Lytechinus pictus: one gene and its partners. The main gene of each other region encodes a partner of the protein of the gene in region 3 in a complex. Links are inferred from orthologs where the notes say so. Each region holds a gene or a part of one and is shown on either strand. Other genes may lie near its edges. The genes, in order: transmembrane protein 107-like, tectonic-like complex member MKS1, transmembrane protein 17-like and meckelin-like.

Region 1 (7,881 bases), on a different chromosome or scaffold from region 3:
AGAATATGAACAGGAAAGGAGGAAGGGGAGGAGGAGGAGGAAGAGGAGGAACAGGGGGAGGAGGAGGAGAAAGAAGAGGATGAAGAATAAGAACAGGGGGGAGGAGGAGGAGGAGGTGGAGGAGGAAGAAGAGGAGGAGGAGAAAGAAGAGGATGAAGAATAGGAACAGGGGGAGGAAGAAGAGGAGGAAGAATAGGAACAGGGGGAGGAGGAGGAGGGAGAATGAAGAATAGGAACAGGGGGAGGAGGAGGAAGAAGAAGAGGAGGAAGAATATGAACAGGGGAGGAGGAGGAAGAGGAGGAGGAGGAAGAAGAGGAAGAGAAGGATGAGGAAGGAGAGGGGAGGGGAGAGAAAAGGAGTAGAAGGATGTGACAGACACTTACTCACTCTTTCTACTCACAATAAGTAAAAGGAACTGCTCATTTATGTTCACAACATAGAAATTTCATCTCTGCTTAATGTATCAACATAAAAATATCTATTTTCATCTGATGACTACCAATCTGAAATAAATGAAGCTGTTTTCATCACCTGCCATAATATATTCATAATTCATTCATCTGTTTTATTTACCAAGACGAGCATTATCAGAGGATAAAAGACTGTGTCGGGGGAGGGGGGGGGGAGGCTGCAAAATAAGATCAACTAATAAGATATACACAGGGAAATGAAAATACTCACGCCACATCTACTGAATTGTACTCTGTATCTGTGTAGGTTTCAGGTAGGCAGGCTCGTACATTAGCATCCTACAAAAAAAATTGAAAAAGGAAAATAATATAATTGTTTAATATTGATAACATTCATATCTTGTGACATTTTTAGCAAAGTTTTTTTTACGAAAATGGATTGTCTTGCTTTAAATAATAGGAAACTCTTCAGAGGGGTTTTCACAAAGAGGTATATGTAAGTATGATTAAGTCATTTTTTCCACATAAATGAACAAAGTAATGCACATGTATAACCTGACCAATGAGGTGATGTGTATATTTCAAACTCTATTTCCTGTACATTTCCTTAAAAATTTCAATCCAATATGGGAAATCTATCAATTCATTTTTGCAATATCGTCATGTACTTTCACAAAGTTAAAGTCGTTGTAGTCCTCCTCCACCACAACCACCACACCACTTCTAGTTCTTTACTTCTGCTACATTTTACCAATAACACTGTAATCAGTAACAACAAAATGTTAACAATTAATAAGCGAACAATTACTCAGTTGTTCTTAATCTCGTTTCAACTGGAAAAGAATTTTTGTTACCTACCCGTGACCATATGAGAGTGACAGTGATAACCAGATGAGCAATTAGGCACAGGAAACGGGCTGGGATCAGATTTGTTAAAGCCATTAGGATTTAGGACTATCCACCAATTCTACTGGATCATTAAGAACATAAAAGAAGAAATCATACATTACATTTTAAAACATCAAAAATGTTTTTATATACTTTATATACGAATATTCACTGCTAGAGTAAATTCTGAGCTGATTTTATTCTTTGCATGGTATGAAAATGACAATGAGAGCCTGCAGAAAGAAAATCCAAAAAGACAACTTTAGCTTAAAGTAAAAGATTTAATTTCATTATCTATTCATTTATTTCCATCAACTCCCAATAAAATTATCCTAATGTTAGAATTAGAAAGTAAAAGATCTAACTTAGCCCTAATAGTATTTTCAAAGATAGAATCAACAGCAAGAAAAACAATATCTTCAGATACCAGAGAACTACACGTCTACACCAGTTACACAGCAAAATTAAAAGGAATATAAATAATTATGGAATAAGAATCCTACCAAGTACCAAGACGACGTCACAATGTCATGAAAAAATTTCCAAACGTTCAATTTTTTTGCCTTTTTTCAGCTCAAATCAAATACGTGATTTTAAGCTGTGCCTGGTGAAATTTGGCTCAAAATCAAATTAAATTGTAAAAAATTACATTAAATAGTTTTGCCAAGGCCAAGCCATGGCTAAAAGTAAGAAATTGCAAAACGCCCTGGCCTTGGCAATGCCAGCCAGGGCCAAATTCAAATTAACCCAGGGAAGTCCCGCCCGCTGTGCGGGCGGGAGCCCAGGGGCTTACCGTGTATTTGACCATACTCACGGGACTAGCGTGATTTATGGTCTAAATATTTCTCCAAATGAATTGTGAAAACAGAAATTATGCACTTACCACGATTATATGGATGAAGGTCTAACGAGTGGCAGTTTCCTGACATCGCGGCACAGACTGGAACTTCAAAAAAAACGAAAAGTTCTCTCCTTCTACCCCAGTCTCGATCGGCCATTTTGTTACGATTCATAACAAAAATGGCCGATCGAGACGGGGGTAGAAGGAGAGAACTTTTCGTTTTTTTTAAGTTCCAGTCTGTGCCTCGATGTCAGGAAACTGCCACTCGTTAGACTTTCATCCATATAAATTAATCGTGGTAAGTGCATAATTTCTGTTTTCACAATTCATTTGGAGAAATATTATTATTCAGACCATAAATCACGCTAGTCCCGTGAGTATGGTCAAATACACAGTAAGCCCCTGGGCTCCGGCCCGCTGTGCGGGCCGGAGCTCCCTGGGTTAAATTCAAATAAGACTTTATAATAAGAGGACCATCACCCAGAGGCTCGTCCACGCACCGCCGGTTTGGCCGGTGACAGCAGCGGAGCTTCCCCGTTCCGAATCGTCTTGACCCTGCCCTGGCTAAGCTGGGAAGCTGAGCCTCTGAGTCTGGGGCCCTGTCTCTATCCCGAGTGATATGTTTCTGTGATGACTGTATTAAGGCTCAAATCTAAAAAAAAATCTAAAATACTTACCTAGGGCGTTTGCAAGTGGATTTAGACCCTTTTATTCAGCTGCTTGAATCCAAATCTGGATCGTGAAACCATGGACGCTCACACTTTTCGACAGGAGCAGGGATTTGTTTCACAAAAGATTTGTAAGTGTAAGTTCGCAACCTTATGTTGGTTGCATACGCGAGTTTCTATCGATAATATCAGAAGCTAGATTTAGGACGAGTTTGAGAAACCGTTCCCGGAAGTTAATGATCGGACAAAGTTCACGGAGCTTCGGTTTCCCATTGATGATGTTGGAACTTGTGTGTAAGTGCCACGTTTGATAAATTTAAATCGAAAATACCATGGTAAGTTGTTATCTTTTATTTAATAATTTTCCATTATTTAAGTGGATAATTGTGTGTTTGTAAAACTATTCACGAATGGAGGGTGTGGACACGGAGTATAATTGAGTAAAAAGATGTTGATTTGTCTTTTTTTTCGTCGCGGCGGAGATGGCCGATGCTTATGGAGTTTTTCTAGCCTCATCCTTACCATGGCATGGGCCGTTCCGCTGGGGGAGACGACGGGCACTGTACCCATTGAAGCAGACGCACGTAGCCGTAGCTACATTGTAGGGCCAGGTAGCCGCTTGTGCATTTCAATCATTTGTGAAGGCCTGAGCTGAGGCAGAAGAAGAGGTCATTGACATTATAATTGGACTGAAGATTAAACATGAAATTTGTTAATATTCTATGAAAGTTTTGGCCGGTGTGAAATTAAAGTTTAAACTGCATTATTAGAAATAGAAATTACTTGGAATGATTAGAATTAATTTTAGATCTAGAAAATCATTTGTCATTTAGTGCCAAACTAAGGCAAAGTTCATGAAGTTTCATTGAAATTTGATATGCCCTAACTCCTAAGTAATTCTTGCAAAGTGTGCCGGGCAAGAATTATTGTTGGCTTGAGCAAGAACAGAATAAATATTATTTTACAAAAAAACGCAGCCTGTAGTACACTGCATACTGTAGAGTAGTGTAACTATTTATTGTAAAGTTAGAGTTAGACCTAACGAAAGCCAAAAAGGTGTTCAGTTTCAACATTGGCAATTGGTAACGTTGCCCGTTGGCAATTTTCATGAATTCACAATTTTCTTTTATGCCCAAGATTCGACATGTTAAGCTCTTCTGCAATTTTTTTTGTTCTAAAATTTCTTTTCACAAAATGATATTTGCACCAATGTTTGTTAAATATATTTGTCTATCTTTAATTGCAAATTTGCAATGTTCATTTTCAATTTCCATCTGAATAATACATAAAATCTTGAAATGTATCGCCATGTTTCGATTCGACATCCCCTGCCCTTCGTACGACATAGCGCATCGCGCGCTCAAAAATGCAAGGCGAGAGCCGCTGAATTGCGCCGCATCGCATGCGATGTGCAACCCAGAAGTTGCAGCGGTCATTCGCTCACGCATTGCGATCGGGGCCCCTGTCGAATGAAGGCGACCTGCAAGCATGCCTTGACTTCAAAGAATTCTGTGCAAATTCAATGCCGTTGAATTTTTCTTTCTTTTTCTTTTTTGATTGGAAATTTTGAAGATACGATCCTAAATTTGCGAGAAAGTTATCGTACTCGGAGCAGAACCAAGGATTTCTTTATTTTTGACACATTTTTCGGCGACCCCGCTTCTTAAATCTGAGCTAAGCCGCCAAATGCTCTGGATATATGGTGAATATTCCGCATTTCAAGGGAAATTTTTGACATTTTAAAGGGGATTTTTTTTTGTTAAAATCAGGACTTTTTGGTGGCAAGTGATAGTGCCTATGTTTATAAAAATGTGTTTGGTGTGTGTTTTTGTGACTGTGCTGGCTTGTGAAATAGGTTTGCCATGTCGAATCTCGGCACTTGTCGAATTTTGGGCGTGTTACTCTATTTAATTTCACTCTTACTTTTTGAGTAATCTTGTGACAAAGTAACAAAACAGTTTAGTTCTGTCCTTTGAACTGCAGATGATTAGTGTGAGATAGATATCATAGACTTAGATCCTTATTTCTTTCAAGAGTGGTTACTTTCATTGTTGTCAAGTAACATGATCCCGAGTTATATAAAGCTCTGTGATGGTTTTGAAATTTTTATCAAGCAGGGGGGTGTTTCACAAAGTTTTAAGTATGACTTAGAGTCGCACTTAAATACCAAGTTGCGTACGGTATGAAAGACTTGACCGCATTGGCCATATCGTGTCATGAGGACGCGCACTACTGCGTATTTATTATCAATAAGATCGCATATCATGTACGTGTCGGCATTTAAGTGCGACTCAAGTCATACTTAAATCTTTGTGAAACGCCCCCCAGGGGGCCGTTTCATAAAGCTGATCATCAGTCAAGAGCGACTTTAAGAACGACTGGTGATCCTTTCTTGTGGTAAATGATATTGACCATTAAATGTTCATTGGTGATTATTTAGAGTGTAAGAAAGTTTCACCAGTCGTTCTTAAAGTCACTCTTAGAGGACTATTCCACCTGAACAAAAAGTTGATTTGAATAAAAAGAGAAAAAAATACAACAAGCATAACACTGAAAATTTCATCAAAATCGGATGTAAAATAAGAAAGTTATGACATTTTAAAAATTTGCTTATTTTCACAAAACAGTCATATGTACATCCTGATCGGTATGCAAATGAGGAGACTGATGACGTCATCCACTCACTATTTCTTTTGTAGTTTATTGTATGAAATATTCTAACTTTCTTCTCATTGTCAAGTGAAACAACAATTAATTCCTCCCTGAACATGTGGAGTTATCATTATTTAATACTATATGATTTAGTCAAGTTGGTCCTTATTGTCAAATCTATAAATAATGAAATATTGTATAATTCAAACAATAAGAAACAAAAGAAATAGTGAGTGAGGGACATCATCGACAGTCCCATTTGAGTTGTGCATATCACTGTTTTGTGAAAAGTAAGCAAAACTTTAAAATGTCATAACTTTCTTATTTGACATCCGATTTTGATGAAATTTTCAGCATTATGCTAGTTTGATTTTTCTCAATTTATTCAAATCAACATTTTTGTGGGGTGGACTTGACCTTTAACTTACGAACAGCTTTATGAACTCCCACCTTGTGTGTTATTCTTACTAATCTCTGATGAAAATTTCAAAAAGACTCTTTCTCTGCTCAGGGCCCGGTACAGTATGTAACAAAAAGCTTTGATAGTGATTGATCAAGGGGCTGATTTTACGAGTAATCAATGGAATAAATCATAAAATTAGATATTAGCCCCATGATCAGTCGCTAAGCTTTCTAACCCATGGATTGCTGTGTTAAATTACACTTGATCTTGTGTACCCTCAGATAATGTTTGAGATGCAATGTTTTTTGCTCGTTATTGTTCCAGGCTGCACAAAAGATTTCTAAGTTTTGACTAGATGCTGCAAAGTGCAAATGGCTTTGGTCATTTTGTGATATTAGAAATTCATTTTCTTGATTGCAAACAGGGATAGACAGACCACTTATTTTCAAATGAGAATTTTTATCAGAACTTCTTATTTTGACCCATGCCTTATCATTTTAGTACACTGTATCCTACAGGAATTTGCATTTGTAAACATTTTATAATTATGTTCATTCCTTTTTTTTATTCACATGACAGCCTCTTAGATTGGATATAAAGGTAAGAAATCTATTTCCACCTTTTTCTGTTGTTGTTTTTTGCAGTAACACAATGCATGTTTTGAAAATATATCTTTATCATTGAAAGCCAAAATCAGTGTATACTATGCACCTGTAATAAATTACTAATTTTAGTGAAACATGTGAATATTTTATGTGATAAAAATATCATGTATTTTTTCAAGCAAGGGTTTAAGATTTTTGAGGATTTTTTTAAATTAAAAGAATATTAATATTTTATGAAATTTGGACTTATCAATCATGAGTAATGCTATTCTTGTACAATTTGGGTTTCTTATTTTGGGGGAATTTTTTTTTCCCCATGCATGTTAAATGTGAGTGTGACATAGTCAAAGAAAATTGATCACATACTTCAGTAAACTTTAAGAAAATTACATGAAGTCTTTGACACCCCTCTGCAAACCAATTACATAACTGCATGTTTTGAAACAATATCTCAAAAAAGATCTCTGTTTCTACTTCGTAAAGTCCTTTATCTACTCCTAATCTGTTTGTTCGTTCGTTCCTGACTTTGTTACAATGTGATAAGTACGACATGTATATAAAAGCAGTATATGATAATTATATCTGTATATATTTCCCCTTCAGCGAAAGCTTTCAGCACGGTCTGACCGTGTAAAGTGCGTTGACCTTCATCCATCTGAGCCATGGATGCTTGTCAGTTTGTACAATGGTAACGTACATGTATGGAACCATGAATCACAGGTGAGAAAAAAAAATATTGTACTTAAAGGTAAATTGTGTCATTGGTTTATTTCAAAACTTTCTTTTAAATTTCACTCTTTGCTTTCCACGATATTCATAAACAAGTTCTGAGTCCATACAATGTATTGCATTGGCTAGAAAGAACTGTTTTTATTCTCAAAAAAATATATAAAGATGAGAAGATTTGCCGAGTGAGCTTTTTTTTATTTATTTTTAAAACTAACATAAAAAATGAAGAGCGCCACCTTGAGACCAAATTACATCAATACCTGCTCATGAATATTCATATCTCTAGCTCTCGCCTCTGCGCGAGTCTCAATCAAGTGCCGATGCACGGTAATGGGCATGGGCGGGTACGGAGTCTGTACACCGTGAATGCACGGGTTTCTTTCCCGGTTTCTATTGCATTTCGTAGAAAGCGTGTATATTGAAAACAAAGTCTGACGGCTTTTTCCTTGCTTGCATCTTTGCTTCGTTGATCTGTATTGTTTCTCTATTTCTCCAGGGTATGGAGGGACGGAGGGAGGGAGAAAGGTGCTTGTGAAAGCCAAGGGAGACAGGGCTATATTCTTATTTATTATATTTTTTCTAGTTCTTTATATGTATTTTTGTTTTTTTTCCGATTCACTGAATTGTTATCATTTTCTTCAGGTTCTGTATTTTGATGTGTTCATTATTATCACGTGTAGTAAT
Region 2 (6,928 bases), about 2.5 Mb from region 3:
GTGGTGGTGGTGGCGGTGGTGGTGTAGTAGTACGTATAGTAGTAGTAGTAGTATAGTATAGTAGTATAGTAGTAGTAGTAGTAGTAGAAGTAGTATAGTAATATTAGTAGTAGTAGTAGTAGTAGTAGTAGTAGTAGTAGTATGTAGTAATAGAAGTAGTAGTAGTAGTGGTAGTAGTAGTATAGTAGTAGTAGTAGTAGTAGTAGTAGTAGTATAGTAGTAGTAGTAGTAGTAGTAGTAGTATAGTAATATTAGTAGTAGTAGTAGTAGTAGTAGTATGTAGTAGTAGAAGTAGTAGTAGTAGTGGTAGTAGTAGTATAGTAGTAGTAGTAGTAGTAGTAGAAGTAGTAGTAGTAGTAGTAGTAGTAGTATAGTAATAGTTGGTGTAGTAGTAGTATAGTAGTAGTAGTAGTAGTAGTAGTAGTAGCAGTGGCGTACCTGGGATTTTTCACAGGGGGGGCAAAACCGTCCGCCAAAAAATTTGACAAGCAAAAAAAAAAAAAAAAAAAAAAAAAAAAAAGGTCTTCAATCACAAATGAAGGATTTCGTACCAGAAAAAAATTTGACAAGCAAAAAAAAAAAAAAAAAAAAAAAAAAAAAAAAAAAGGCTTCAAGCTCGTCAGGGGGGGGCAATAAAGGTCTTCAAGCTCGTCAGGGGGGGGCAGGGATACGTGTTTTGCATGGGTTGTGGCTCGTCAGGGGGGGGGGCAGACTGTCCCCTTTGCCCCCCCCCCCGTAGGTACGCTAGTGAGTAGTAGTAGTAGTAGTAGTAGTAGTAGTAGTAGTAGTAGTAGTAGTAGTAGTAGTAGTAGTAGTAGTTATATCAATACGTATAGTAGTATATTGATGAGGGATGATCCTCTCTCCCATTTCACAAATCCGGGAACCTTCACGTATTGCGATAAATGTTTCAAACATAACGTAACGTAACATAGGCGGGGGAGGCAGGGGGGCAAGCTCCCCCCCCCCCTGGCGGATTAAACCGGGGGAAAACGGGGAAAAGGAGAAAAGGGAGAAAGGGAAAGGGAAAGAAAGAAAAAGGGGAAAAAGGAAAGAGAAAGAGAAAGGGAGAAAGGAAAGAGAAAGAGAAAGGGAAAAAGTGAAAAGAAAGGGACAGAAAGAAAGAACATAAATAGAGAAAATGGAAGGAAAGCGGGCAAAGGAATGAAAGAACACTTAAGAAAGTACAAATTATCTTTTGATATTAAGACATTAGCATGATAAGCAAGAGAGGGATATAAAATGAAAGACATGACTCAATGGTACAGGCAAGAATGGCGGGAAAATGAGAGAAAGAGGCAAAAAGAAACGGGAAATGAAGGTAGAGCCCAAAGCTAAATTGATAAATCAGAATATGAAGAAAGTACAGGGGCCGCGGAACCGGGGGGGGGGGGCTGGGGGGGCTTCAGCCGCCCCCCCCCCCACTTTTTTCCAAAACCGTGTACAAAAACGTAAAAATTACCATATGATTGTGATTTTTAGCATGGTCAGCCCCCCCCCCCCCACTTTGAAAACCGTTCCACGGCCCCTGAGAAAAGAGACAAGAAAACAAGAAGAAAAGAACCTAATAACACGACCGGGCTGCCGAGGATTAAAAAATATAAAGAACGGGAAGAAAGGTGGTTGGCGTATATATAAGCTTGCTAAATTTTATGTAATAATGGTCGCAATCAGGACAAAATAGTCCTTAGCCAAGAGTTAGTTATATCCCCTATGTCGATAGTAAAGTTTTACGCCTGCTAGATTTACCGTACAAACTAGCCTTTCAATGTTTACTTTGGCTAAATTTTCAAAGCTATTATCACATAATTAGAATTTAATTTCAATTTTTTTTAATAAAACGCCAAAATTTTCTTGCTCGCTTCGCTCACTGGCAACTTTTTATCAATTTTACCACATTTGCTATGTTGTGCTGCCTCAAAATATTTCGTGTATCCGCAACTGTTATGAAGTACGCACGAGGTTTGATAATAAAGTAGCCATCAATGTTTAAAAATATCGCGAGGTTCCAGGGGCTCCGCCCCGGACCAGTGACGACACCAAGAGGGAGGCACGGGGGCATTTGCCCCCAACGAGTTGGCCCCCACTTGCCCCCCCCCCGAAATTTTGAAGAATAAAAAAAAGATGTGTAGTTAATGTTGTCATAAGCATCCCAATAAATCTGCAAAGTGCTCCAAAACAGCTTGTCGTTCTTTAAATCTTGAAAATGTTCTCATTCACTGTTAGCTCCCAACAATAATATGTCAACATAAATCTTTCAGTCACTATATAAAATTCAAAATTTCGCCCCCCCCCCCCGGATCCAACCATGGGAGATCCTTTTCATGATTTACAAAACATGAATAGTGTCCCGTTTTTAGGTCTAAATCTATTTTTTTCGGCTCGCGCTTCGCAATTATCAATTATTTACTTATATACTTCCTCTTCATGATTACAAAAAGTGCCTAGAATGTCCAGGTTTCAATTCAATATTTATCTACATTCTCCATAAAAACATGAAAAAAAAAACATACAAAAGATTCATAAGTAAAACATCGTCACAACCTACAAAAAACATTTATGAGAATTGAGAGGCCAACAAAAGAGAGCAGATATAGCCTTTAGGTCCGAATGACAAATTTTTTCAGCTCGCATTATTTGATTGTTGAAATATATATAATCTTCATGGGTAACTACAAACAGTCGATCCTTAACAGGTCCCTTTTCGATCATGCCAGAACGTGAATTATAAAAATCTGATCGTGCTTCGCGCTCGCAGTACACGCATCTGGTTCAGTATCACAAACATTGCTCAGAAAGTTCAATTTTTGAAATTTTCCCCAAAATTAGCTCGCGCTTCGCGCTCGGCTCCCACTATTTAATTAGGGCTTATGAGATTATTATATATTTATGTTGTTTTAGAAACGAACAAATTCAAATTTGTGCGGCCGATTGGGGTAAATAAAATATGGGTGAAATTTTATGCTCCCCCATTATTATGAGAACGACAATTCGCTGTGCTTCGTGACAGCTTATTGACCTTCATGAAGAAATATATTTTAAAGGACAGGGGCACCCCAACAAAAAGTTGAGTTTGATAAAAATTAAGGAAATTCTAACAAGCTTATGCCATTTTAAAGTTTCTCTTAATTTCATAACACAGTTATATGCACATCCTGTTTGGTATGCAAATAAGGGGAACGATGACGTCACCCAATCACTTTCTTTTATTATTATTATTATTATATGAAATTATGAGATATTCTAATTTTCTCTTCATTGTCCTGTGAAATTTTATTCCCGTTTTATTCTGATTGTTTTAAAATTATATGGTTTAGTAAAATTGGTCCCATAATGACAAATCTGCATGAATAAAAAAGAAATAAAAAGAGATCAAATAGTGAGTGATGGACATCGTCGACTCTCCTTTGCATATCGTGAGTTGTGCATGTTTTGTGGCAAGTGAAACTTTCAATGTCACAACTTTTCTTATTTCATTTTCGATATCGATTTTGATGAAATTTTCAGCGTTATGCTTGTTTCATTTTTCTATATTGATTAAAATCAACATCTTTTTGGTGGACCTGTCCTTTAACATGGAAATATCAATGATATAAACAAAAATATAAAAATAAGAAAATAAACATGACGAACTTTGATACAAAATATCATGCTGGAAATTAAATCATTTTGTTGAAAGCAGAGAAGACAGAAAAATTAACTGTATATCTTTTGACAGCTGACAGTGTATCTTGAGATAATCACTGAATTGGAAATATACCCAGCTCAGTGGACAAAATCATGAAAGTGATAAAAAAAAAAAAAAAAAGAAGCTAGAGCTCACTATACGATCTTCTGCTATGCTGCCACCATGCGGGCAAACTATTTGCATTACCTAGCCTCGGATCGGTCGCCGGATCATATCCGGATCGGAGCATTTGTATTACGTCCATGCATAAATGCTGGTCGAAGAAACATTTCTGATTAACTTGAAAAGGTCGAACAGCTAGCACGCAGGTAACGTTTTGATTAGAACTAGGCCTTTGGGGAATTTGACATTGTTACGATCGGTTAATTGGTTACTTGGAAATAGATAATTCGAGAGAATGGTCGAAATTAAGATATAATGGGCAGATAAGTGGAATTGGAATTATAGCCGGATAGGTCAATAATGCGTTGTCCCATACGTTAGTTTCGATGTGTGGTAAATCGAAAGGGTAATGATTTTGGCGTCTGCCTGGCTTTGACCACTCAAGCCAAGGCCCAATGGTTTATTATATGCCGCTATGCACGGGAAAATCAAGGCACGACGCATGCAACTCTCTCTCTTAGTGTGAGCTGATCCCTCCACTTGTCTTTGCAGATTCCTGGCTTGACTTGGCCACTCACACAACATGCGAGGTTAGTATACTATACTATTAGCACTCTAGGCGACACCCCAATACTTACCCGTGCTAATAAAGTGGGACTCCGCTCACGCGCGTTTGGGCCTCCCTAGCTTAGAACTAAGCAATATTATCTAGAAATCGTTACATTGTAGTAATTAAATATGTTCTATTAAATAAATTGATAATGTTTAATCGGTACTCACCGGTTCTTTTGTTGCATTTTCAGACCATTTCTCACAATTCTTCGTAAATATTTGCGGCAAATTTTGTCGCCATAGACAGCTTAGCATCCATCTTTATTGATAAATGGAGCGCCCTTTACGATAGTTGTTAATGCCGCGGAGAAATCGTTAGGCATTTTGGCCTGTGTTCAAGGCGTTCTTTCTGTTTTATTTTTAAATAGATTGTGCATTTGTTGAATAGCGCCGTCTACGTCAGGTATGAGATCGAGTGTATAAATACACTCTTCCAAAATAATTATGATTCCGACCTGGCGCTGTTTAACTTCAATCTCTTTCACCTAAATTAGCGATGAATGCTAGCATTATAAAATATATATTATTAACGTCTGACGAAAAGAATAACCAACCGATCAGCTGACGAGAACGCGAATCACGTGATCTTCATATCAGCTTCGATCGCGAGTCAGAAGAGAAGAGCAGTTGCCCAGAAAATCAGGAAAAAGCCGTGAAAATGTAAGTTCCCCTTCATTTCTTTCAATTTTTTTATTGCTAACAATGTATTCAATTAGTGAGATCGAAATGTAATGATTAGACAGTACGATAGCTTGTAGTTTTGATAAAATACAAAAATAATCATCTTCACAAAGATTTCTGACACAAAATACTACTGATGTCGCCTATGAGGTCCATACATGTAATGTTGGACCTCATTGGTACTAGGAGTGACTATTAGTAGGGCCTATTACTAACCTCGCACAACACATGTGATTTCATAGTGCATTTTGACGTTTTCATTCATCACACGAATGTGAGGGACTAAACTACGCCAAGCCTTTCAATATTTGTCCACTATCATTATTATGTTAATCTTGATCGTATGATTTAAGTATATTTGAAAAAGGAATTATAAATTATTTATTAAGGTGTTTTTATCGCTTACCTCCAAATCTCAACCAGGATACTTCGTTCGGTCCGTCCTTGGTCATCCTCATACTGCGGTGGAAATTACGCAAACAACAATCGAAATGCGAAATTTTCCTATCGAACATTCTCGATTCAAGTCGTAGGGGAGGGAGAAAGGAAAGAAAAGAAGGGAAAGGAAAAAGCGAGAAAGGGAATGGAGGGGGCGGGAAAGGAAAGGAGAGACAATGAAAGACAGATCAGGGGAGGGGGAAAGGTAAAGGAGAGAGAGGGAAAAGGAGACCATAAAATAGAAAGAAAACAAAAGAAAGGAAGAGGGGAAGGGAGAGGGAAAGAAAAATGGAAAGAGCGAGAAAAGAGTAGGGGAGGGAGAAAGGAAAGAAAAGAAGAGAAAGGAAAAAGCGAGAAAGGGAATGGAGGGGGCGGGAAAGGGAAGGAGAGACAAGAAAAGACAGATCAGGGGAGGGGGAAAGGTAAAGGAGAGAGAGGGAAAAGGAGACCATAAAATAGAAAGAAAACAAAAGAAAGGAAGAGGGGAAGGGAGAGGGAAAGAAAAATGGAAAGAGCGAGAAAAGAGTAGGGGAGGGAGAAAGGAAATAAAAGAAGGGAAAGGAAAAGGGAAGGGAAAGGGAGAGAAGAAAAGAAGGGAGAACGAAAATGGGGAAAGGGAGAAGGAGAGGGGATGATGAAGGGGATAGGAAAATGTCAAGTTTGAAGATCTGAATATTAACACTAAAAAAAATTAGACTCCCATGTTTTATTTATAAAAATACCATCTTTTTCATGATTATAAAGGTTCAACGTCCCTGTTCTAGGTCTAAACTTCAACATAAATCTACTGGCGCTTCGCGCTTGAATTCTGGAGGTCATTCCTCTTTTAAAAGTATAGGTAATCTGTCGGACTTTTCAAATCCCAAATTTAAATCTTAAGCGCAAATGCCCTTGCATTATTTTTCATTTAGATACAGTCCTGTCATCAATATCAAAAACTCTAAGCGCGAGCTTCGCGCTGGCATCATTTTTGTAAGTGACATTTATGATGTTGTTCATATTTTTAAAATGTCCATTTGTTGAGGTTTAAATGTCCAAAAGTTCAGCGCTCGCATAATTTGTAAGGTAAATAGGCCTACCCTTTTAATTGTTATACAAAGGCGCTTATACAATGTCCAGAATGCAGTTCGGAATATTGAAAATAACTATTGGTCCCGCTATTTCTGCCCGTGCGACAAGCATTTATCATTTTGAATCATGAGATTCACCTTTAAAATATGATGAAAAAGTATCGTTAAGACTGAATTAAGAAAAAAAGAAGCTCACGTTTCACGCTCGCATTTTGATCCGTTAGCTTGTGATAATAATGGTGACTTCGTTAATATATCTTAGCGGACATGTCCACCTTTTGGTGCTTCAAGAAAAATAAACACAACACACAAATAATAATAGAAAACGAACAAGAAT
Region 3 (7,739 bases):
AATCAAATCTCTCGAATCATTCATACCATACGTGTTGCTAGATGTAGCCACTTATACTTGGACTCGCTAGGTACTGTATTCTATTCCGACGATAAGTACTTTATTCCAGTGGCGGATCCGGGTGTGCCCCCCCCCCCCATTGGCAGGGCCCTGGGAACGATTATTTTAGTGGGGGTTGTTAAGGGTGCTGATGTGAATTTGAAAAGCAAAAAAAAAAAAATCACTACTAAATGGAAGTCAAATTGGTCCCGAGACCCCCGCTTCGCGGCACCCCCGCTTCCCAGGGCCATGGCCCATTGAGAGCCATAATCAACATTTTTAAAGTAAATGTTCTTACACAAGTGTGCCCCCCCCCCCTTTGAAAGGTATATCTTTAATGGAAATACGCCGTTCATACGGACCGAAGTGAAGACATTTATTTTTATATATTTTTTTATTATTATGTTGCTCTTCAATTTTTTCTCGGGAAAATGTGCCCCCCTTTTGGATAATCCTGGATCCGCCCCTGCTTTATACCTTAAACTGAGATATACAGAGGAACATCTGATTAAAGTTACTACACATGTAGAAGTCATGAAATACTGCTCTAATTTCATGTTAAATCTATAACATAATTATTACGACTTGGTATAATTCCATTCATATAATTTTGCAATTCGTTACTTTATACGCAGGGTGCAGATGGAGTCAATAAGGTATTATCGATCTTACGGTTTGAATTGGACTCTGCTCTGGGCATTTCAGGTCAGTTTTACATTTCGCATTGTTAAGTCATTTAGTATGATGCAGGTTCATGGGGGTATTGTTTTTATATATTTATTCATTAATTTGTGTCATTAAAGAATATATACAATTATATTTTTGTATATAAAAATATACAAAAATGTTTCAGGAAAAAAGGTAAAAGGAAAACAGATTTGGTTGGAAGGCCCACCACTCTATTATCTTCCATGAGGTCCAAATGGAAATCGATCCAAGTGAATCGGTATGTGTGTGTGTGTGTGTGTAGTGTGTGTATGTGTGGAGGTGATGAGAATTTTTGCACACACTGAGAACAGTGGGCGCAGCCCCCTTACCCCCCCCCCAAAAAAAAAAAAAAAAAAAAAAGTGCAGTATTGATACGATTTCAGAGTAGGTCTAGTATGCATGCCATTCCGAAATCACAGAGTTGCAGCTCGGCTGGTCAGCCTACACTCCGGGCCTACACTGTAAAAGCTGTACGATGTATAAGAGGTACAAGATTTTCAAATACGAAGTTTGAGCTAAAAACAGTTTTTTAAATGACAACCGGTAATTACAGTATCATAGTGGGTGTCAAACTAACACCATATTAACCATTGATGTAAAATGCTTAGTGAGGTCCTCAAGTTGTGTGGGTTTAAAACCAAAGCTTGTGCGGTACTAATCAGATGTCTGTGTTTCACATATTGTATTTATTTTATATTTCACAGGTTGCACCAATGTCCAAGACATTCCGTCATCATTGATAGCTCGAAAATCTTACCTCTGAACACTGGCGTACCTAGGATTTTCCAGAAGGGGAGGGGCAAATTTTCTGGAGGATATTTTGTCTGCGAAAAAATTTGACAAGCAAAAAAAAAAGGTCTTCAACCAAAAATAAAGGATTTCTTACCAGAAAAAAAATTTGACAAGCAAAAAAAAAAAAAAAGTCTTCAACCACAACCTGTATCAGTTGTGACTCGTCAGGGGGGCAGGGATACGTCCCCTGCATGAGTTGTGACTCGTCAGGGGGCAGTCTCCCCCTGCCCCCCCCCCCCTTAGGTACGCTAGTGCCTCTGAATGTCTGCCGAACTCGGCCTTCCACGGCTTAAGATCCCGACCACCATCAAGAATATCCTGGAAGAATGAATGATACAAAGCCCTTTAATTACCCATCCGCAGAATCGGAATCATTTAGTCAAGATTATTTGCAATATATATCCTTACTCCTCACACAATATAGGCACATTCTCAGGCAAATACACCCACATTCCAACATCATCGTCTCGCCAACACTCACCCACACAAAAACGCACACACTCATATACACACCGCACACACACACACACACACAAATTATTTAAATTTGTATTTTATTCATTTAATCACGGTTAAAAAGCCTGCTTCCAGCTAAAAGCTGCTTTTTCAACAAGGCCGTGAACAACTGAATGCAAATAAAACAAAAATGAAATTGACTTTACAAAATTGATCAAAGAAAAAAAATAATGCAAAAATAATATTAACAATAGAAAAATTGAAGTAAACAAAATTGAAAAGTTAAAGAAACGAAATAGTATACAAATTAATGTCAAATTCAAAATGAATAAAAGCGAAAATGACGGTAACTTAATACAGTTTGTCGGTCTATGTTTCTGAGAAGATATTCTCTTTATTTAAGTGTGATTCGGCTAAGTAAGTGGGCCTAGATTATTGACTGTGGTAAAAATTGACTGATTGATTGATCAACCTTTAAAATGTGATATACAGCCGTGACGATTATACAGGCTGAAAGGAAACGCTCAAACACACACCTCCACCTATCGTTTGAAGTCGAGTAAAAAGTCAATAAAAAGTAGAGTGCACTCTGACACTACAGTGTCCGCCATCGCGCCGCTTCATTTGGCAAAGGAATAAGAATATACCCTTAGATTTGGATTATTTTTTAATGATACTGATATATATATATATATATATATATATATATATATATATATATATATATATATATATATATATATGTATATATATAAAGGTAAATATATAAATGTAAAGGTAGACGGAAAAGCAATGAATTTTTTGAATGACTGTTTTCTGTTAATAATATTATACCCCTTCATGTGATGTAACAAGTTTGATCATACTGTACATATATATATGTTTGCATATATATATATATATATATATATATATATATATATATATATATATATGTTTGTATATATATATATATATATAGTTATAGTTATAGTTTTATATATATATATAGTTATACATATATATAGTTATATACACATATATATATACATTTATATATATATATATATAAATGTTTATATGATAATGCATCATTTATATAACTGCATTGTATTGTATATGTGTTTAATAGAAATTGGTTTGTAAGAGTGAATCAAAATTATTTGGCCTGCAATCCTGTACACTTTTAATCAATATGTAGGCCTATGCTCTATTTATCAATTTTTTAATGTTGGCTAATCTGAGTACTGAAGTGCTTTTATAGTTCTAATCTGCAAATTGTTTCTAATGACTTTTTACGGTCCTAAATACCGGAATTCTCTCAGCAATGACATTATAAATGCCGCTAGTTTGAATTGTTTTAAATGAAGCTAAAAAAAGAAAAAGCGATCGGTAGCCAGCTTTGTCTTCCTTCCTCCCCTCTTTTTTTTCTCTCTCTTTCTCTCTCCCTTTTTCTCCCTTTCCCCTCTTCCTCTTTTACCGACAACCTAAGCACCACCCTATCCTTTCGGTTTCTTTTCTTTCTTTCATTCTCCTTCCATCAACTCCATATTCCATTTACCAATCATCACATCAACTTTATTTATTCCCACCCCTCCTTCTCGTATGATACTCGTACTGATCTTTTATCCAATTCTTTAAGGGATCCACATTTAACAAGCCCTGCTTTTCAGTTGATACCTCCAATTCCTCAACTTTTATTCTATTAAAAAGTTATATTAAAATAGCCTTGCAGATGTTAAATCGAGATTGTTCTACATTTCGTTTTACCATCATGGTATATATCATATTATGATTATTGTTTATGGCTTACCGAAAACATTTATCTATTTCCCTTGTATTGATATATTGCTTATACATAGTATTCCCTTGTATTGATTTGTATGGATATTATTTCATATTTGTGTAATTTGTTGAGTCGAAATGAAATAAAGGAAACTTGAAGAAAAAGGTATTTGAATACTTCAAAATTATAAGTACTCTTTCCTTCTTGAAATAAATAGGTGAAAACAACATTACTTGCCAAATAGAGCAGAATTTCAGTCTTTTAAAAAACGAATTGCCTCTATTAATGTACATAACGTAATACGGTCCTATATTTTTTTTAAACATATTTTTAATCTGTTGCTGCGCTACAATAATCAATTTTTGCGATTTCTGATATATCTTTTTTTGTGATGAATTCTGTAAACATGCATAAAAACGGTCAGTTTTGAAAATCCAACAAGCGTCTCAATGTGAATCATTTATACACAGTAGGCCTAAGTGGCGTCGGTATACGAGTGGGGTGTGTGACACATTTTTTTTCTAAAATGCTGCCAACAAAGAAAAAAGAAAAAGAGTTGATGAAATGGAGAAAGGTGGCAGAATCGAAGTAACAGATGAAAATATAGAGGAAAAGAAAAAAAATGAAAATAAAAGGCGAAAGACGAAAAAATAGAAGAGATAAAATGAATTATTTTCGTTGCAGCTTTTCTCTCAGTATCTTATAGGATATAGGCCTACTTTCAAAAGTTTAAATTATTGACTTTTCTGTGGTCCTCATTCCTGCCTTAATATTCTCTAAACTGGTCTATTTTTCCTGTATTTTTTCGATATTAATTTAAATAGAAGTTGCCAGCGCTAGCATTTAGCTAAAGATAACGATTAAATTAACTGATTGTATATATAGGCCAAATAAAAATAAGTAAAAATGGAGAAACCGAAACAATTTGCGATTCGGTATTTATTCAATTAAGAGACACCTTACGCTTTAAAAACGAAACAAAATACCAACAACAACGAAAAGGTGTCCGGTCGGGTTAGCGTCGCGAATTCGAAGAAAAATTAAAATTCCCATAATAAACATGGCTGGTGATTATATGAGGCAGAAATTGACGTCGTTTACAGAAGCTGTATTTCCAACTCGAAATGCTGTAAAGCGCCAGCATCATATGCTAAAACCTGGTGAGCACAAGAAATAATTTTTAGAGCGAATTCGTTTATGTAGCCCCATACATTCGATTTGCTGTAGGTCTAGTGATAGATCTGCGGACGGTTTATTAATTTATCAATATCATGAACAATGATCAGTTCGTCTGTATGTAACGAACCTCGCATCACATTTTACTTTTAGTGTATATCAATAATCTAGGCTATATATCTGTCTTGTCTATGCTAACATAAGGTTTGGTCCCCCCAGTCTGTGCATACGTGTATCTGCGCAATTTTTTTAGGGGGATCCAGGGGGCCCGGGCCCCCCCCCCTATTGGCGGAGCAAAAAAAGGGGGAAAGAAAGAAAAAAAAGGGAAGAGAGGAGAATAAAGAAGGGGAAACATAAGAGGAGGAAGACGAGTAAATAAAATAAGATGAGGTGAAGACTTGAAAAATAATTTTTAAAAATATTTCATGTTTTCCTATTATAGGCCTAAATTTTTTGCTGGCGCTTCGTGCTCGTGCTCGCATTGTTTTTTAGGTGATTGACATATCTTGCTTAATATGGAGCTTAAAATATCAAATTTTGAAGTCAATATACAAATCACATTTCAGCTTGGAAAATGAACTTTCATTGTTTTTATTTGATTTACAAATTGATTTTTATAAAGTGCTCTGTAAAAATGTATGTTTTATGGTCTGAATATTAAAATTTTCTGCTCGCGTTGCGTGCTTGCAAATTCGTCAGGTGTACCTATTATTTTCCTGTATTCCATAAAGTTCTCAAACTATCCCTATTCAGGTCAGATAGCCATAACGTATCAGCTAGCGCTGCACGCTCACATTTTGATTGGTGAGTTATGTATTTCTCAATATTAATTCTATAACATATAATTCCCATTTCATGACAGTTTATCAAAAATTTTGGCTCGTGATTTGCGCTCGCATTGATTGTTGAAATATATTAACTCATGCATCTTATTCATAATTACAAAAGTGCATTAAATGTCCAGTTTTCAGGCCATAATATCAACAGATTTCTCACTCTCATTAGGCTTATTAGATTAATGAATAAGATATTGATTGAGTAATCAAATTGTCCCTTTTTTTCAGAATGGAATATCGACAAGTTTCATCTTGTGCTTAGGAAAAGAAATAGGAAGATAGTGATCATTTTCATATGACATAATGTCCTTAGAATGTCCTATATCAAAACTCAAAGTGATAATAATGAAACTTATCAGCTCTTTTTTAACTGTGATCCATATCCACCTCACAATTTTCCTATAAAGTGCTTGAAATACAGAGCTTAAATTGACTCTTTTTCAGATTGGAATATCGCCTTATTGATTTTCATGACAAAAAAGGGTATTTAGAATGCCCAGATTTTAGGCCAAAATCTTCTTCTCTATTTGAATCATTATCCAGTTTCAGATCACAATATCAAAAATTTTCTGCTCGCGCTTTACGCTCGCATTATAGGAAGATTTCCAATTACTCATCCTTTTCATAATTTAAAAAACTTGAATAGAGTGTCCCATTTTTAGGTGTAAATCTCGAATTTTTCCGCTCGTGCTTCAAGCTCGCATCAATTATTTAATTATATACTTATCCTTTTCACGATTACAAAAAGTGTGCTTAGAATTTCCATTCTTCAGGTAGAAATGTCAAAATTTCCAGCTCACGCTTATTTTCAGCTCACATTATTTAATTGTTGAAATATGTAACATCTTCATGGGTAACTGCAAGCAGCTGTTATTAAAAACATGATATTTTATCAGATCAAAAAGGATATTAAAAAATTCTGCTCGCGCTTTGTGCTCGCAGTAATTTAGTTAGATACACATCTCATTTAGGATCACAAACATTGCCCAGAATGTATAAATTTTAGTACAAAATACATAATTTTGAGCAGCCGATCGGGGAAAATGTGGCTGAAAAAAAATCTGCCCCCCCCCATTGGCAAAGGCTGGATCCGCCCCTGATCCAGGAGACACTGTCACTGTCATGAACTAACACTCTAGTCTCTACTCTAACGTTCGACAGAAGTCCGACTCAAGTCAAATTTCAGTTTCAAATCTACTAAAATTTCGCCCAGTCATGTTGTAGGTTCATGGTGCATGCACATGCTACGAGATCATCCTCATAATCATACATCAAATGCGCTAGGCCCTGTACCATTACCGAGCTAGCATCTGTGTAATTTGAATGCGGAATGTCTATCACAGAATTGTGATAACTGATAACCTCTTGTGCTTAGTAGAGTTTCTGTAGATCTACAAGACTACATCAAAAGTTGTTTTGCTGAACTAGGTTCTACATATGTTCATTTGCTCTTGGATGGTAGAAAAAATGTCTGAAATATTAAAATAATTTTTAAGAGTAAGAAAAGTGATTATTCCTGTATTAAGACTGAAAGAATAGCATACGGCGATAACTGTAATTCTGTGTGCTTCTGGAGAGTAAAAATAATTTGCTAATCTTTGTGACATGCAGTGGCGAATCTACAGGGTATGGGGGGTTAAATGCCCCCCCCCCCATAGGCAGGCTGCAAATAAAAAAAAAGGAATGACCTACTTTTTAAGCCAACTACTTTTTTGTGCTTTTCAAATTTTTTGGGATCAAAATGACTTTCATTTTGTAGTAAGTTGTAGTGAAACCCTTTTTGGGGGGCTTGTATTCTTGTCAAGTTTCTCAGTAAAACCATCCTTGGAAAAAGATAGATCTGCCCCTGTACATGTTTATGGACACATAAATAAATGAAATGAAATTGTGGGCATGCTTAGAGATAGATTTAAAAAGTAATTTATAATTTTTGCCCTAAATATCGATAATTTCTGTGTTTCTTGCAG
Region 4 (7,797 bases), about 7.0 Mb from region 3:
ACTGACAGTGTAAAAAAATCAAGCATTTGTCCCAACGAAAAGAGAAAATAAGCCAAACATTGCCAACTTTATTTTGCCACACATGGAGATGTAACTGAGAACAAGGTTATATCATAACCTTGTTCATTGAATGAGTGTGTCCCACTGCACTTACAGATATGCAAAGAGGATGTAAAAAAATCTTGCAATCCGTTGGAAAACGCTATGCATCCGCTGTGTACTCATTGCATAGGTGTTTCATATGCTCTATCCATTGAGCATCCGTCCACCCAGATTTCATCCAAGCAAAAAATTTTGAGCTACACAAAACTTTTCGAGCAAATGAACTTTCCGTCGTGTACAATGCGAATCCGCAACATTTACTGGCAGCAAAAGTTCCGTGTCCGTTATCATCCATTTAACGTCGGCTGTATCCTTTCTGCATCCTCTGGGCATCTTCATTTGGATGGATGGATACAATATGATATAGCATTTTGATGCTGATCTCCGATAAAAGTTGACAAAAAAGAAGATAAAGAAACTAGAATTCTATTCTCTAATGCATTACAAGCACCATAACTGTACACACTGTTCTACCTATGAGCCAAAGTTGATCAAAAGGCAAAGCAAAGGCAAGCTCAATTGGCAACCCTGACAAAATAAAAAGCAGTGAATATCAAAACTTTTTGCACTTACATATCGGTATTTAAGTTCAGATTTAAAAAGAAGAAAATAACTGGCCATTACTGTGTAGATTTAACTATGAATTGATGAGTCTACAAATTGATAAAATTAGTTTGAAAAAAAAAGAGTAAAGACTAAATGGCCCAAATATCAGACAGTTCCAAATATTGGATGAAAATTACTTCAACTCCCTCTCTACATGTAGGCTACAACTATGCTGTCTATTCATACGGTGCGTTTGGGTGTGCGAGGTTAGTTAGTATAGATCTAGACCAAAAGCTTCGGTCTCTGTTATGTTGGTTGTTCAGCTGAACTCCGTTGGCTTCACTCACCAAATACAGAGACCGAAGTTCTAGCGCGATCTATACAGGGGACTCAATGGCCATATGTTTATGTGTATTAAGTTCGGATAAAACAGGGCAGTGAAGTTGCGCGACAGCCGAGGTAAGTCACTGTTTTTGTTCCTTTTAACTTGATTTTCCCCGTTTTTGGCAATCAATGCCAAGAGGGAATATTAATTTGCATTTCGGTCGCGTTAATTTTCAAAAAATTGATTCATTAAAGACAAAAATTGAAGAGCCCCGACGGGGGGATTTTGCATTGTAAGTCCCCTAATGGTGGCTGCACGATAGCGAGCCGTCTGTGTATGAGGAGAAATTTAAAAAATAACAAAAATGTTAAAAAACTCCTCGAAACAGACGGCTGCCAGCTGTCTAGTATAGATCTAGCTAACCTCGCAAGAGCGTATTGGGTCACACAACGTATCGTAATTCGTACATAAGGTCCCCCAACTTGTCTGCGCAGTCCCCCTTGTGGTGGAAAAATAATGAATTTCAGGACAGCCTCAAATTTCTCAAAATGCAGCCTTTCTCATAAAAAATCCCTGAATCATGTGCAAAGTGAATGGGTGTGCAGACATGGGGTAGACCCTGCCAATTTTTTTTCAATAATCAATCTGAATGACTGCCAGCTGCCCGAGGTTTTTCCCACTCCTAGTACCAATGAGGTCCAACATTACATGTATGGACCTCATAGGCGACATCAGTAGTATTTTTGGTTAGAAATCTCTGAGAACAGGATATTTATATATTATATCACAAGTACAAGCTATATTCCTTTCTCTTATTTAAATTATAATTTTATAGTGTAAATGCATCGTTAGCAACAACAAAAAATGAAAGAAATGAAGGGGAACTTACATTTTCACGGCTTTTTCCTGATTTTCTGGGCAGCTGCTCTTCTCTTCTGACTCGCGATCGAAGCTGATATGAAGATCACGTGATTCGCGTTCTCGTCAGCTGATCGGTTGGTTATTCTTTTCGTCAGACGTTAATAATATATATTTTATAATGCTAGCATTCATCGCTAATTTAGGTGAAAGAGATTGAAGTTAAACAGCGCCAGGTCGGAATCATAATTATTTTGGAAGAGTGTATTTATACACTCGATCTCATACCTGACGTAGACGGCGCTATTCAACAAATGCACAATCTTCAATATAAAAAATAAAACAGAAAGAACGCCTTGAACACAGGCCAAAATGCCTAACGATTTCTCCGCGGCATTAACAACTATCGTAAAGGGCGCTCCATTTATCAATAAAGATGGATGCTAAGCTGTCTATGGCGACAAAATTTGCCGCAAATATTTACGAAGAATTGTGAGAAATGGTCTGAAAATGCAACAAAAGAACCGGTGAGTACCGATTAAACATTATTAAAGTTGTAAATAGATTATACATACCTTGTAGATTTAGTTTTTAAGGTGATATTAGTGCTTAGTTCTAAGCTAGGGAGGCTCAAACGCGCGTGAGTGGAGTCCCAGTTTATTAGCACGGGTAAGTATTGGGGTGTCGCCTAGAGTGGTTTTTCCAACTCATCCAAATTCCTGGCTATATTTCTTTAATTTTTATGAGATATTTGGTAGGGCCTACACTTACTCATAATAATATAAGGAACATTACTAACTGAAAGACTTTGTGAAATAAAAAGAAATCCATGTTCATAACTTAAATCTTAACTCAAATTAGGTGCGCAGACTTGGCCCAAGTCTTGGGGAATGGGGACCACCATCAGGCATCACACCAGCAATTAATTGAACATGTCGGACTGTCCACAAATGTATAACAAATAGTCTTACCATCAACGGTAGGTTCTTGGTTGTCTCCACAAGGATCACATCTTAATTCTGCTATATTGTAGTATTCTCCATTAGCTATACATTGTTGTACGGTCGTGTAAGGGAATGGATTGGTTGAATTGACCTCCATTACCCAGAAAATGAGAAGAAAATATATCGCAAATCTTTTAATCGGCGACATTTTTGGCATCACGTTTCCAAGGATCCGGCCGGCTAGGCGCGGCGGCGAGACCGCATGACTGGACCGACATACCCCATTATGGAATCGAGGCCGGTCTGGCCCTGGAATCGTGGGGCTGGATTGTGGGGGCTGGATTGTGGGGCTGGATTGTGGGGCTGGAATCGTGGGGCTGGGGGGGGGGGGGGCAAAACATAATTTACTACTAAGCTACGCTTTTTGTTACTTTTCTTCGTGCTTTCTTCCCTCTTTTCCCCTTTTCTCATTTTTTTTCTCCTCACCTTGATATCGACATCATCATTCATTTTCATCATAATCATCATCACTATTCTTCTCTTTTATCCGATCATAATTTAGATCATTTTATTATAATTAGCCTCACCATCATCATCATCAAACATCACTATTCTTCTCTTTTATCAATATCAATATCATAATATAGATTAACGTTTCATTATCATTAGCCTTAATTACCATCATCATTATCATCATCATCACCAACACCATCATTACCATCATCATCATCATATTCATCATCACCCTCACCATCCTTACCACCAGCTTACCGCCATTATCGTCATCATCAATCATCATTATTCTTGTCTTTGATAAATATCATGATACAGGTTAACAATGTTATTTAAAAAAATGTACATTATGATTGTTGAGCTTTACGTAATAATGAATAATTTCATACATTTCATTCAATCAGGGGTAAAATTTGGCAACCAATTAGTATTTTATTTCATAATATTTTTTTTATATAACATTAATTATGAAAAAACTGGTATGCCAGAACAAATGAACAAAAGTTGATGAGGCAAAATCAAGCAATCTTTCTTTGCTGGACAACAGTACATAATGCCATAATGTCATTATCATAAATCACACAATACACTTAAACAAGAGAATAATGGAAATTATATAACAAGAGTCATTATAATTATCAAAATTTTGTGAAGCATTTCCTCTCGTCTGACTTTTTCAATGGGACAATTGTTGCAAATCGGAGTAAAGCCTGATGAAGGCATCATCACCACACAATGTTTTCAAATTCAGTGGTAAAATCTGGCAACAAATTAGTATTTTACTTCATAATCAGTGGCGGACCGTGACCCCAAGGAGACAAATGATTGGAGGGGCACTGTATTCTTTGTGAACAATACTGTGCCCCTCCAATGCTTTGTCTCCTCTGGGTCACAGTCCGCCACTGTTCATAATATTTTTTTTAAGTTACATTAATTATGAAAAAACTGGAATGCCAGAACAAATGAACAAAAGTTGATGAGGCAAAATGAAATGTATTTCAAGCAACCTTTCTTTACTGGACAACAGTACATAATGTCAGTGTCATTATCATAAATCACACAAGACACTGAAATAAAGAGGATAATGGAAATTATATAATAAGGGTCATTATATCTATCAGAATGATGTAAAGTATTTCCTCTCGTCTGACTTTTTCAATGGGACAATTGTTGTTAATTGGAGAAGTGTCTGATCGGAGTAGATCAGGGCATCATTACCACAATGTTTGCAAATCAATCACAAAGACGGTAATGACCATTAATTAGGACCATTGTTGTATATGAATATTTTTCAACATATCCACTATAAACCAAAAAAAATTGTCTTTGAAATTTTCAACCAATAAAAAAAACATAAGGAACATTTTCCTGTGGAAAATTGCAAATGGAAAAGCCTTGAGCATGCCTTTACTTACTACCACTTTACATTTTAAAGGGATGCTCCAGGCTGAAATTTATATGATTCAAACAGGTAAAGAAAAATCAGACAAACAAAACACTGAAAATTTGGTTAAAATCGGACAATGAATAACAAAGTTATGGCAATTTAAAGATTTGCATTATTCCAGTGAAACAGTTCTAGGCATGTCTTCATGAATATTCAATGAGCAAATTGATGATGTCATTATCCCCACTTGTTTTTTTTTTTATTTTATTATATGAAATTAGGTTTTTCAAATTTTTTCTACCAAGAACTTAAAAAATTGGATTGACAACTGATTTAATGAAATTTATTGCTGCAACTTATTTCATTATAAAGGAGACACATTGTTCACACATGTGTGAAAAATGAAACAATTATGATTTCATGTAATAACAAAAGGAAAGTGGGGATGTGACATCATCAGCCCACCTAATGAATATTCATGATGATGTATGTAACTTTTTTTTACAAAATATTGCTAAACTTTAAAATTCAATAACTTTGTTATTTGTTATCCGATTTTGATGAATTTTTCAACATTTTGCTCTGTGAATTTTACTCTATTTATTTCGATATATTTTCAGCCCGGAGTACCCCTTTAAAGGGATGAATTGGATGGTTTAAAAAGGATTGTGTACATGTGCAATTATTCAGAGGGTTATGCAACAAGTCAAATAACTTACTACGGCAGTGCGTATTAAAGACGTACTTGAAAGAAGCATTACAAGATATACAAAGTTTAGCAGAACAACAACATGTTGCTCTGCCCGTGCATACTACACATGTAACTTGCCAAGGCATTTTTAAAAATTAAGATCAATTGAACCAAAGAATGTCAATTTTGTTGATGATTTATTTATCTTTAGATGAAATTACACTTCATTGTTACAGAATAAAATCCTCCATATTCATGATTATGATTGGTTTATACTTAAGGGGAAAATTTGGGGCAAGAAAAATCCATTAGTACTTGAGTTTCAGAGATAATTTGCATAAAACATTATTTGCACTCTTTCATAGTTCACAATTCATGATAATACATTCAGAAATGTTTTTATTCAGTATAGAGAATATCTCACACTAAACATATTTTCTGTAAGAAAAATAAAATAACTAGGTCACTTTATTCTAAAACTACCACAGTTAAATGTAGATAGTAGAAAATCTTCTGAACAGGCGAAGGAGCTTCTTTTTTCCATATCAATTCATATGACTCATGAACTATGTGTATTTCCACCACAAATGCAGAATATGCAAAGTTCAAATGAGGAATTCAATAAGTTATTGGACATGATTATAAAAATAGCCAAATAGCCCATCGAAAGGAGGATGGCAAATGAAGCAAGAATATGTACCGGTACACTGCAACCAACAGTTAGATGTAATGGTAAATTGCCAATTCGTCCACTGCCAACTCATCCACTTACCACATGGTCTGCCTTCATTTAGTCTAATGCCATTCCGTCCATCAACATTTCGTCTAACAACCATTTGGTCCAATAACCATTTGGTCCAATCATCACTTAGTCTAATCACCAGTTCGTCTATTACCATTTCGTCTAATAACCAGTTGGTCTAATACCCATTTTCTTTTCATTCACTTTGCACAATTAACATTTTAGTTTAATAAAGACCAAATGGTATATGGACAAAATGGCTATTGGACCAACTCGTTATTCGACGGAATGGCATTGGACTAAATGAAAGTACACCATGTGGTCAGTGGACGAAATGGTAGACCAAATGGTAGTAGACGAGTTGGCAATTGGAAGAAGTGGCATTCGACAAATTGGAAATAAAGTGATGTAATTGGGTAATTAATGTCAATGCAAGAAAGGAAGTTTGTATCAATTCAAAATACACAATCAATTTAACCAATAAGAGACTGACTGAAATGAAATCTTTGAAATTTTTATAAATCTCAAGCATGCATATATATGTGTGCTCAGTCTCCAACAGCTACGGGTCAATTCTTTGAATCACATTCGGTGAAGGACTCTTGTACTGAACAGGTATGTAAGTTTCGGCAGGCTGGGGGTTTCTTTCAAAAGCAGATACCCGACAATCGACTGGCAGATCGAGCGCAAAAGCTCATATACTACTTCAGAGGTTGACTGACTGATCATTTCTGAATTCACTTCTCATTCCATTTAGGCCATTGTAGATCAGCAAATGTCCGGGTGTCCATGCGATCAATGTATAAAGTTCCCTGAAGATGATCATATTCATGCTGTATGATCCTTGCTGGGTACCCACTGACACGCCAAGTAACTGGCTCTGCTTTCTCATTTAGACCTGCATTTCAAAATGAAAGGAAACTATTACTAGTAGTATTATCCATACAAACAAAGGGTAAATTGCCAATTCATCAACTCATGCACTCACCAAATGGTCTACCTTCATTTAGTCAAATGCCATTCCGCCCATCAATATTTCGTCTAACAACCATTTGGTCTAATCATCAATTTATCTAATCACCAGTTCGTCTATGACCATTCCGTCTCATAACCCGTTGGTCTAATATTTGTTTTAATTTCATTAATTTTGCCCAATTAATACTTAGTCTAATTAGACCAAATGGTATATGGACTAAATAGCTATTGGACCAATGGATCATTAGACGAAATGGTGAGGGGAGGAATTGGCAACTAGATCATTGGCATTGGACCAAATGAAAACAAACCAAAGCAAAGATATATTCCTATTATTTAACAAATTGAAACTGTGTGTGATAGATGCTTATTCAGGATCATAGAATTACAAACATACATAATAATAATAATAATTACTTCTTATTATTACTTGCAATATATTGAACATGTTAAAACAAATGAGATTTAAGCATCTTCTTAAACACATCAATAGAAGAACATTGTCTAAGTTTATGGGGTAATCTATTCCAATATTTGGGGGCAAACACAGAAAAAGACCTATCACCTACTGATTTGTTCGGGGGATGTGAAGAGGGATATGTGATGATGACCGAGTGTTGTACATTGATTGGTGAACTGTTAGGAGGTCTGACAGGTATAATGGAGCTTGATCATTGAGACATTTGAATGTGATAGTCAGAGACTTATGCTCAA

Evidence for each region.
Region 1: transmembrane protein 17-like (region 3) and transmembrane protein 107-like share a complex: the UniProt entries of both Homo sapiens proteins name them as parts of the tectonic-like complex. The link is inferred for Lytechinus pictus from reciprocal best matches to the Homo sapiens genes TMEM17 and TMEM107.
Region 2: transmembrane protein 17-like (region 3) and tectonic-like complex member MKS1 share a complex: the UniProt entries of both Homo sapiens proteins name them as parts of the tectonic-like complex. The link is inferred for Lytechinus pictus from reciprocal best matches to the Homo sapiens genes TMEM17 and MKS1.
Region 4: transmembrane protein 17-like (region 3) and meckelin-like share a complex: the UniProt entries of both Homo sapiens proteins name them as parts of the tectonic-like complex. The link is inferred for Lytechinus pictus from reciprocal best matches to the Homo sapiens genes TMEM17 and TMEM67.

What each region holds. Positions count from the first base shown.
Region 1 is NC_087258.1:18,218,328-18,226,208, reverse strand, and holds the start of transmembrane protein 107-like, read right to left. Parts: upstream 3,006-7,881; 5' UTR 2,818-3,005; exon of another isoform or gene 2,670-2,817; intron 1,382-2,669; exon of another isoform or gene 1,379-1,381; 5' UTR 1,354-1,378; coding exon 1,270-1,353; intron 751-1,269; coding exon 683-750; intron 1-682. UniProt on the Homo sapiens protein: Plays a role in cilia formation and embryonic patterning. Requires for normal Sonic hedgehog (Shh) signaling in the neural tube and acts in combination with GLI2 and GLI3 to pattern ventral and intermediate neuronal cell types.
Region 2 is NC_087246.1:13,141,946-13,148,873, forward strand, and holds the start of tectonic-like complex member MKS1, read left to right. Parts: upstream 1-3,911; 5' UTR 3,912-3,996; intron 3,997-6,928. UniProt on the Homo sapiens protein: Component of the tectonic-like complex, a complex localized at the transition zone of primary cilia and acting as a barrier that prevents diffusion of transmembrane proteins between the cilia and plasma membranes.
Region 3 is NC_087246.1:15,643,867-15,651,605, forward strand, and holds the start of transmembrane protein 17-like, read left to right. Parts: upstream 1-4,723; 5' UTR 4,724-4,820; coding exon 4,821-4,920; intron 4,921-7,739. Other genes in the region: 2-Hydroxyacid oxidase 1-like, read left to right, coding at 675-744, 1,452-1,510. UniProt on the Homo sapiens protein: Transmembrane component of the tectonic-like complex, a complex localized at the transition zone of primary cilia and acting as a barrier that prevents diffusion of transmembrane proteins between the cilia and plasma membranes.
Region 4 is NC_087246.1:22,606,245-22,614,041, forward strand, and holds the start of meckelin-like, read right to left. Parts: upstream 3,003-7,797; 5' UTR 2,993-3,002; coding exon 2,803-2,992; intron 1-2,802. Other genes in the region: peptide deformylase, mitochondrial-like, read right to left, coding at 6,846-7,006. UniProt on the Homo sapiens protein: Required for ciliary structure and function. Part of the tectonic-like complex which is required for tissue-specific ciliogenesis and may regulate ciliary membrane composition.